Struthio camelus: one gene and its partner. The protein of the gene in region 1 purifies or fractionates together with the protein of each later gene. This does not show direct contact. Links are inferred from orthologs where the notes say so. Each region holds a gene or a part of one and is shown on either strand. Other genes may lie near its edges. The genes, in order: NIP7 and NOP2.

Region 1 (3,870 bases):
TGCAGGAACTCGGAGACCTTCTGCAGCACCCAGCCGTGGAATATGGCCCCCTCGTTGAGGACCTGTTCGTCAGGGGGCAGGAGCGGCTCCTCGTCGGAGAAGATGGCGCGATACTGCGTGATGATGTCGAAGAGGTGGACGCGGCAGGCCTCGATGGTCTTGGTGATGTGGAAATAGGGATCGTCGTCTGGAATGGAGGCCTGGATGGAGCGCAGCCAGGCGTCCCGCGCCTGCAGGAACTTGATGCGCAGCTCGGCCTCCGTGAAGACGTCCATGCGCCGCAGGTAGCCGATGACCCGCAGGCAGGCTGGCAGCTGGATGTTGGTGCGTAGCTGCTGGATGAGCTGGTTCAGCATCAGCTGGGTGGACTGGCGGACTTCATCCACGATACCCTGGGGACAGGGAGACAGCCTCAGCCACGGGCGCCACGAAGCAGCTGCGGGGCCGGGGCGGAGCAGGGCGCACCTGGATCACGGGGATGGCGCTGTGCTTCCTCTCCAGCCGGCGCACATAGGCGGCGAGCTCCAGCGCCTCCTCGTAGTAGCCATTGCGGACGCAGGTGTCCATGAGCTGCGGGATCTCCAGGATCTCCAGGATCTCCGTGTGCCGGTTCAGCGTCAGGCTGTTCATGCGCCGGCTGCAGGCGATCTCCTCGGCATCTCGCACGAAGTTCCTGTGCGATCGGGACGGGATCAGCGCGAGGGCCCGCTCCCCGCGCCAGCCCCAGGCCGCGGGCAGGCAGCTCCCTCACCGGGGCCCCCAGGGACCCTCCCACCCCCGCCGGCCTCTCCCCGTCCCTGGCTCCAGCGTTGCCCAGGGCCTCTTCCCAGCCCCAGTCCCTGCTCCCCCCCCCGCCCTCATTGGAGCCGCTGCCCCAGGGAGCCCCCCACCCCCGTTCCTGGGTCTTCAGCCCCCCCGCTCCCAGGGCCGCTCCCCACCTCTGCCCCGGGCTCCCGCCGTGGCCGGGGCATCTGCCGGGACGCTGCCCGCCCCCAGCCTCAGCCTGTCCCCCGGCCCCCGCGCACCCTTCGGGGGCCCGGCCGCCCCCCGCCCCCCGGGCTCCCCCGGCCCGGCCCGCACCGGCAGGCCTCCTGGAGGGCGGGCAGGCGGGCCAGCAGGCTGCCGAGGCGGCGCTCGATGCCGCCGAAGCCGCGGCCGGCGCGGCCGGTGCACTCGGCGGAGCGGATGAAGGCCCGGTAGTGCTCGAAGGCCAGGCGCCGCGTCTGCGCCCCGACCCGCGCCCGCTCCGCCGCCAGCCGCGCCGGCTCCCGGCCCAGCGCCGCCAGCCCCAGCGCCGCCAGCTCCGCCAGGTAGGCGGACAGCTCGGCGCCGCCGGGCCCGGCCGCCGCCGCGCCGCCCAGCAGCCAGGCCAGCAGGCTGGCCTCCTCCGCCGCCGCCGCCGCCGCCGCCATGCCGCCGCTCTGCCCGCCGCGCCGCGCCTCGCTGGCCCGCGCCGACGCCGCTCTGCCCGCCGCGCCGCCCCTCGCTGACGCCGCTCTGCCCGCCGCGCCGCCCCTCGCTGGCCCGCGCCGACGCCGCTCTGCCCGCCGCGCCGCCCCTCGCTGGCCCGCGCCGACGCCGCTCTGCCCGCCGCGCCGCCCCCTCGCTGGCCCGCACTTCCGCTTCCGCAGCCTGCGTTTCCGCTTCCGGGCGCGGCCCCGCGTGCGCACGGGGCGATGCGGCCGCTGACGGAGGCGGAGACGCGCGCGGTCTTCGAGAAGCTCGGGAGATAGTGAGGGAGCGACAGAGGGACCGGGAGACAGTGAGGGAGCGGGGGGACGGGAGGGGGACCGGGAGATAGGGCGGGACGGGGAGAGGGACTGGAACCGGGAGACAGCGAGGGAGCGGGGGGACAGGGGAATGGGAGATAATGAGGGAGCAGGAGCGGACGCAGGGGCGGGTTGAGTGGAGATAGCGGCGACTGCGGGATAGGGGGGAACTGAGGGATGGGGAGGGGTCCAGGACCTGGGGACACCGGGACCAGCAGGGGCCTGGGACGGGGTCAGCAGTGCTGAGGAGACAAGGAGATCCTGAGGGCACGGGGGGAGTGGGGACTGAGGATGCACTCGGCGGCGGAGGGGGGGACCGAGGGGCAGCAGAGGGGTTGGGGGGGCGCGTGTGTCCGAGGGCCTCGGGTGGGACGGGGGCCGCTGTGGGGCAGGGCCGGCTGGGCAGCAGGCGGCCGGGCACTCACAGCCTCTCCCCGCAGCATTGGCGAGAACATCCAGCTGCTGGTGGACCGGCCCGATGGCACCTACTGCTTCCGCCTGCACCGGGACCGCGTCTACTACGTGAGGTGAGCGGGGCCATGGCGCTGGGGGAGCGCTGGGCCAGGCTGGAAAGCGGTTGCAGGCACGTGTGGCCCTCCCGGCTCGGGAGCTGCTGCAGCCCTGCCCCCTCTCTCCTCAGTGAGAAGCTGCTGAAGGTGGCCACAAGCATCCCCCGGGAGAGCCTGGTCGCGCTGGGCACCTGCTTCGGCAAGTTCACCAAAACGCAGAAGTTCCGGCTCAACGTCACGGCCCTGGACTTCCTCGCACCCTACGCCAAGGTGGGACGTGGCCCCCGCAGCCCAGCCCCATGCGCCCCGGCCCCCGCAGCCCCTCACCTCTCTGTGCCTCTCTCACAGTACAAGGTCTGGGTGAAGCCTGGCTCGGAGCAGTCCTTTCTCTATGGCAACCACGTGCTGAAGTCCGGCCTGGGCCGCATCACGGAGAACACGGCCCAGTACCAGGGCGTGGTGGTGTACTCCATGGCCGATGTCCCGCTGGTGAGTGGCTGGGCCTGGCTCCAGCAGGCTCCGGTGGGGGGGGACACAGCTGCTGGGGTGAGAAACTCCCCGTCCTTCTCACCTCTCCTTCATCCGCAGGGATTTGGGGTAGCTGCAAAGTCCACCCAGGACTGCCGGAAGGTGGACCCCATGGCGATCGTGGTGTTTCACCAGGCTGACGTTGGAGAGTACGTGCGGAGCGAGGACACGCTGACTTAAGGGAGTTGTGCGCTCCGAAGATGTGAGTGATTCTGGGCAGAACGGACCTTGTCCCGTGCCATCTGCGTGCTGCCGGCACACGGGGCAGCAGGGAGCCTGCCCCACGCGGGGCGGTAGGAGGCAGCAGCGCTGCCCCACACCTGCTGGGCCCCGGGGGGTCCTGCCGCTGTGAACAGGAGATGGCGCTCCCCAGAGTGGCAGGTTTGGCGTTGCAATTACATAAAGCCGTTTCCCCCTCTCGTTAACTGTCTTTTGTCTTGTGCAGCGCTTCAGGGTGTCCGTCCTCATCCCCCATGCTGAGGGTTGATTTATGTTTTGAGTTTTCCTTGCTCAGGTTGGTGTCAGATGGTAACACACGCAGAGTGTGAATCCACAGGGATCTGCGTCAAATCAAGCAGCCAGGGCTCGTGGGGAGGCAGCCTGGCAAAGCTGACAGCTGTGCTTCCCTGGGAGGGAGGAAGCAGGCAGGCAGCTACCTGCAGGGCAGGTCTTGCTTCGCTTCGGCTTGCAGGGGATGGACTGCAGCCAGCGCTCTCTGATTGTGCCAGGGGTTTGTTTATTGTGTTTCTAAGAGGAAAGGCATGTTAATACTCTGTCTTTAAAGATTGGTAGAGATATAACATTGTTCCCAACAAACACAAAGTTAAGGCAATTACTTCAAGCTTTTTTCCTTCAAAGTGATATCAGTAGAGGCAGGGCTAGAGCTGAGTAGGAAGGAGCCCAGGGAATTCTGTGCATCCAGCTGCACTGCCTCCTCCCTGAGACAGAACCGGGTCCTCCCCTCCCCGTCCTGCGGCAGCAGGGGGACTGGTGTGAAGATGCAGAGGAGCAATTCAGTTCCTGTTGGCTGCAGGCAGAGGCAGGCTGGGTGCTGGTGCTGCCAG
Region 2 (3,899 bases), on another chromosome or scaffold:
TGGCCCAGTGCTGTTGACCTTTTGGCCAAGCTGAAGTGACCCACCCCTTCACACTCTACCCCTCTGCCTGACATTCCTGACTGGGTGCTGTTTCCCTCCATGGAAGCTGCTCTACAGGTCTCTGGGAGAAGGAACTCCTTCTGCAGCCAGCTGTTGGAGGAAAGAGTGTGCTTAGGAGAGAGGGGGATGTATGATGGACTCTGTATATAGTGACTGGAGGCCACAGCGCCCTGTCTGTTACATGGAGAACCTGGCTGTGTTGCTCGCTGCCTCGGCCTGGAATTCCAGTTTTTGTTTTTAATTTTATTTTGAGTTTGTTTACTGAGATGAGTGCACAGGTGAGACCAAGCAAAAGCCAGGACAGAGACAAAGCTACCTCCATCAAAATCCTTTTTAATACAAAAACTGACTGGACTTGTCCACTAATAAGCAGCTTGAAGGAAGGAGAGAAAAAAAAAAAAAAGGAAAATCTTGATAGGACTGAAAAATAAAGTTTCCTTGTATTTTATTTTATTGCCTCTAATTTAGCTTTTCTGGAGAATGCTAGATGACCAAGAGTGACCAGCTGGCTCACTCCCTCTCCCTGTATTATTATCAGCAAACTACTGCTGCTCTTGTCCTGTTGCCCTGTAAAAAGCAGGGCTTCTAGTATGCTACACCTTTCTTGCATTGGCACTGACCCCTCTTGCTGTTGCCTGACGCTTTAGTCATTTCCTAGAATTTCACTTGGGTCTTTGTCATTACAACCTAAAGCCTACGCCTGGTGAAGCTTGAACCGTCTACCGTTCCCCTGACGCTTGCAGCCCGCATACCTCTGCCGCTCCCGGCCGCGGGCGGCGCCTGCGCCCGGCCGAGCCCGGGCCACGCCACGCGCGGGGGCGGGGCCGGGGGCCGCTGCCGTCACAGGCTGGGCCGGCGCTCAGCCACTCGGCGAGCGGCGGAAGCGGTGACCAACCAATGAGCTGGGCTGCCCGCCCCGGGGCAGGGGGCGGAGCCGCGGCTCGGCGCGTGCGCGGCCGGGGCCGGGTGGGGGCAGGGCGGCACGTGCGGCGGCGGCGGGGGAGCGCGGAGCCGGCTGCGCCACCCGCGGCCGCGCCGCCATGGGGCGGAAGCTGGACCCCGCGCGGAAGGAGAAGCGCGGCCCTGGGCGCAAGGCCCGCAAGCAGCGCGGGGCCGAGGTGGAGCTGGCCCGCTTCCTGCCGCCAGGTGAGCCCGGCCCGGCCTGGGGGCGCCCGGGCAGCGCCGTCCCGGGGCCGCCGACCTAACGGCGCTTCTCCCTCCCGCAGAGGCAGAGCCCGGCCGGAGGAAGCTGTCCAGCCACGGGCGCAGGAGGTGAGGGCGGCGGCGGGGGAGGGCGCGGGGCTGGCTCGGGGCCGGGCGCCGCTGACGGCCGCTTCCCCTCCCGCTGCAGGGCTGCGAAGAGGCGGCGGGCGGCGGGCGAGGAGCGGCGCGGGGGGCGGGAGCCCGGAGGTGAGTGCGGGGCCCCGGCGGGCTGCCCCGCTTCAAGCCAGTCTTTCCACTGAGTTCCACCACCTGCTCTCCGATGCAGCGGGGAGCGCCTTTAGCAAAGGAGAAATCGGTAAAAAGCCCCCCTCTTCTGTGCGTTAGCCTCTTTCTGCCTTTTATTCCGCTCGCGTCGTGGGTATCGTAAGCACCTTGGGGCGCTGAGGCTTTTAAGCGTGCTGCGTTAAATCACGTGCGTCCGAGTAAGCTCTCACGGCGGGAAGAAGGGATAAACACAGATTTGAGAAATAGGGCTGCTGCGGTATGTCAGGACAGGCACTAAAAAGACTTAGTAGCTGTATTTTTCTTTGGCAATTCTAGTCGTTTCTTTTTCGGGTTTGGTTGGGGGGGGATCTTTGTGCTTGAGCAAACCAGTATGGGGAGCAGTCTCTTCTCTTAGACAAGCAGCTCCGGGCTAGAGTGAAGGAGGCTGCTTTGCATAACAAGTCAAAAACTGGGAGAGCTGTCATATAAAATACTGCCTAACTTAACTGCTTATTCTGCCTGCAGTTAAGGAGCAGGTATCCCCATCGAAGGAGAAACACCCCAAAAAGGTAGTAGCGCAACCCCATCGTTGCCAGTCTGGCTTCAGCGATGGCAATTCAAAATGGCTGACTCCAGCCAAAGCCAAGAAAATCCAGTCTGAAGACAACAACGTGGAGTCATCCAGTGATGATGAGGTGGAAGAGGGCACCTGGGAGATGGAGGAGGATGGGAGCAGCGAGGAGATGGTCGATGATTATGGTGCCTCTTCCTCTGAGGAAGAAGAGGTATGAGCTTTTTGCCCTCGATTTTGCAGAAGAAACTTGGCTTTGCTGGCTGTAAGGACCCAGCAGCCCTGGTGGGGAAAGGGTAACTTTACTGGAAGGCTGGATGGCGAGGTGGAGAACAGCTTTATCCTTCTTCCCTTCACAAGAAGGGAATTTTAAGTTAGCAACTGGTCTCAGCAGAACACTCAATGCCTTCATCTGTTGTTCTTTTTAAACAGAGCAGGTATATTTCATAGAGATGGCACAGATTAAAGGGGTAGTTGATACTAGCTGATACTGTTTCATTAATATTTTGTCTCTCTGTTTAGTTGCTGCCCATTGAAAAAGCCGCCCTGAAGCAGAAATCTGATAGGTGAGGATTTGAGAGCGTCAGGGGTCAGCACAGTCTTTCCTGGTTGGAACACGAGGAGCCTGGGTTGTTCGTTCTTCTGTCATCCAAGAGATGATAGTTGTAAAGTGTCTGAGGAGTCCTGCTATTGTGTAAAAAAACTATATTTTTTTTATACCTAGGGGAGGCCTTAGTGAAGATGACAGTGAAGAGGAAGAGGTGGCAGAAGAGGCAGGCAGGCAGAAGAAGGAGCAGAAGGAAGAAGAGAGTGCGGATCTGCAGCTCAATCTGGATGTAGATGAGCAGTTCAAATTGCCAACTGATGAACAGATTGAGAGAGAGAATATCCTTTTCATCTGTGGCCTCTGTAAACCACGTAGCTGTGCCACTACAGAGCTTGAGTGCAACTGTAGAGCTTCATTTACATTTTATTATGAGCGTTGGTGCCTGACAAGCCGTTTTTAGTTGAATTGCCCTAACAGATAGTGGTAGCTATGTGGTTCTACACCTCTGTACAGCACGGTCAGGGAACCTGTTATTCCCTGTATGGAGCCTGGACCTTGCCCTCAATCTTTTTTTCCAGTCCTAAATGCATGTGGGTGTCTATCGCATAGTTAATTCCCTTCTACCTGGATTCCTGGGTATGTGTTTGTCTAACTCATTCTTAGAGCCTCTGATGACAGCAATTCCAGCATCCAAAGCGCGTGTTCTTGGGCTTAAGTGATCTTTTTCACCTCTTTCTTCTCTACTCTCTCTAATTGCTTCTGGAGAACTTTTAGTCTCCTTTGCGTTACAGGAAATGTTTTCAGTATTGAAAAGCCTTTTCCACGTGTCTTCTTCCCACCCCTTTTCTGCTTTTCTAGACTAACCAAACCGAATTTTTGCAAATACCTTATTTTCCCTGCCTTGTGCGCTTCCTTATCTGGTTGCTATCCTTTGAATCTCCCTTCTGCCTAACTCCAGTGAAAGCGTAGCAAACGATACATGGTAGATGTGCACACTCCAGTAAGGCCTTTCTGGTGCAGGTGCTGTATGCAGTGACTCAGGAGTTTTGCATGACTGGCTGTGCTTTTGAAGGGCCTGCGTGTGAATTCCTTGGTCGTTTACAATTCTTAATGGTCCTTCTACCTGCTGAGCCGCCTGACCTGCACATCATTCACCAGCGCATCAAGAGCAACATGGAGGTGCTGCAGGACTTTGGGGTGAAGCGAGAGGAAGGACGCACGCGACAGGAGTACCTTGCATTGCTGCGCCGGGACATGGCTGCTTACTATTCCTACAGTGACTTCTTGCTCAAG

The links.
Region 2: the proteins of NIP7 (region 1) and NOP2 purify together in Homo sapiens (affinity purification with mass spectrometry; 3 studies listed by BioGRID and IntAct, with this or other methods). This does not show direct contact. The link is inferred for Struthio camelus from reciprocal best matches to the Homo sapiens genes NIP7 and NOP2.

What each region holds. Positions count from the first base shown.
Region 1 is NC_090951.1:1,622,457-1,626,326, reverse strand, and holds NIP7 (60S ribosome subunit biogenesis protein NIP7 homolog), read left to right. Parts: upstream 1-1,605; 5' UTR 1,606-1,676; coding exon 1,677-1,732; intron 1,733-2,209; coding exon 2,210-2,296; intron 2,297-2,409; coding exon 2,410-2,548; intron 2,549-2,626; coding exon 2,627-2,767; intron 2,768-2,866; coding exon 2,867-2,986; 3' UTR 2,987-3,236; downstream 3,237-3,870.
Region 2 is NC_090942.1:90,922,804-90,926,702, forward strand, and holds the start of NOP2 (28S rRNA (cytosine(4447)-C(5))-methyltransferase), read left to right. Parts: upstream 1-1,014; 5' UTR 1,015-1,100; coding exon 1,101-1,206; intron 1,207-1,286; coding exon 1,287-1,332; intron 1,333-1,411; coding exon 1,412-1,470; intron 1,471-2,013; coding exon 2,014-2,273; intron 2,274-2,581; coding exon 2,582-2,625; intron 2,626-2,783; coding exon 2,784-2,944; intron 2,945-3,729; coding exon 3,730-3,899. UniProt on the Homo sapiens protein: S-adenosyl-L-methionine-dependent methyltransferase that specifically methylates the C(5) position of cytosine 4447 in 28S rRNA. Required for efficient rRNA processing and 60S ribosomal subunit biogenesis.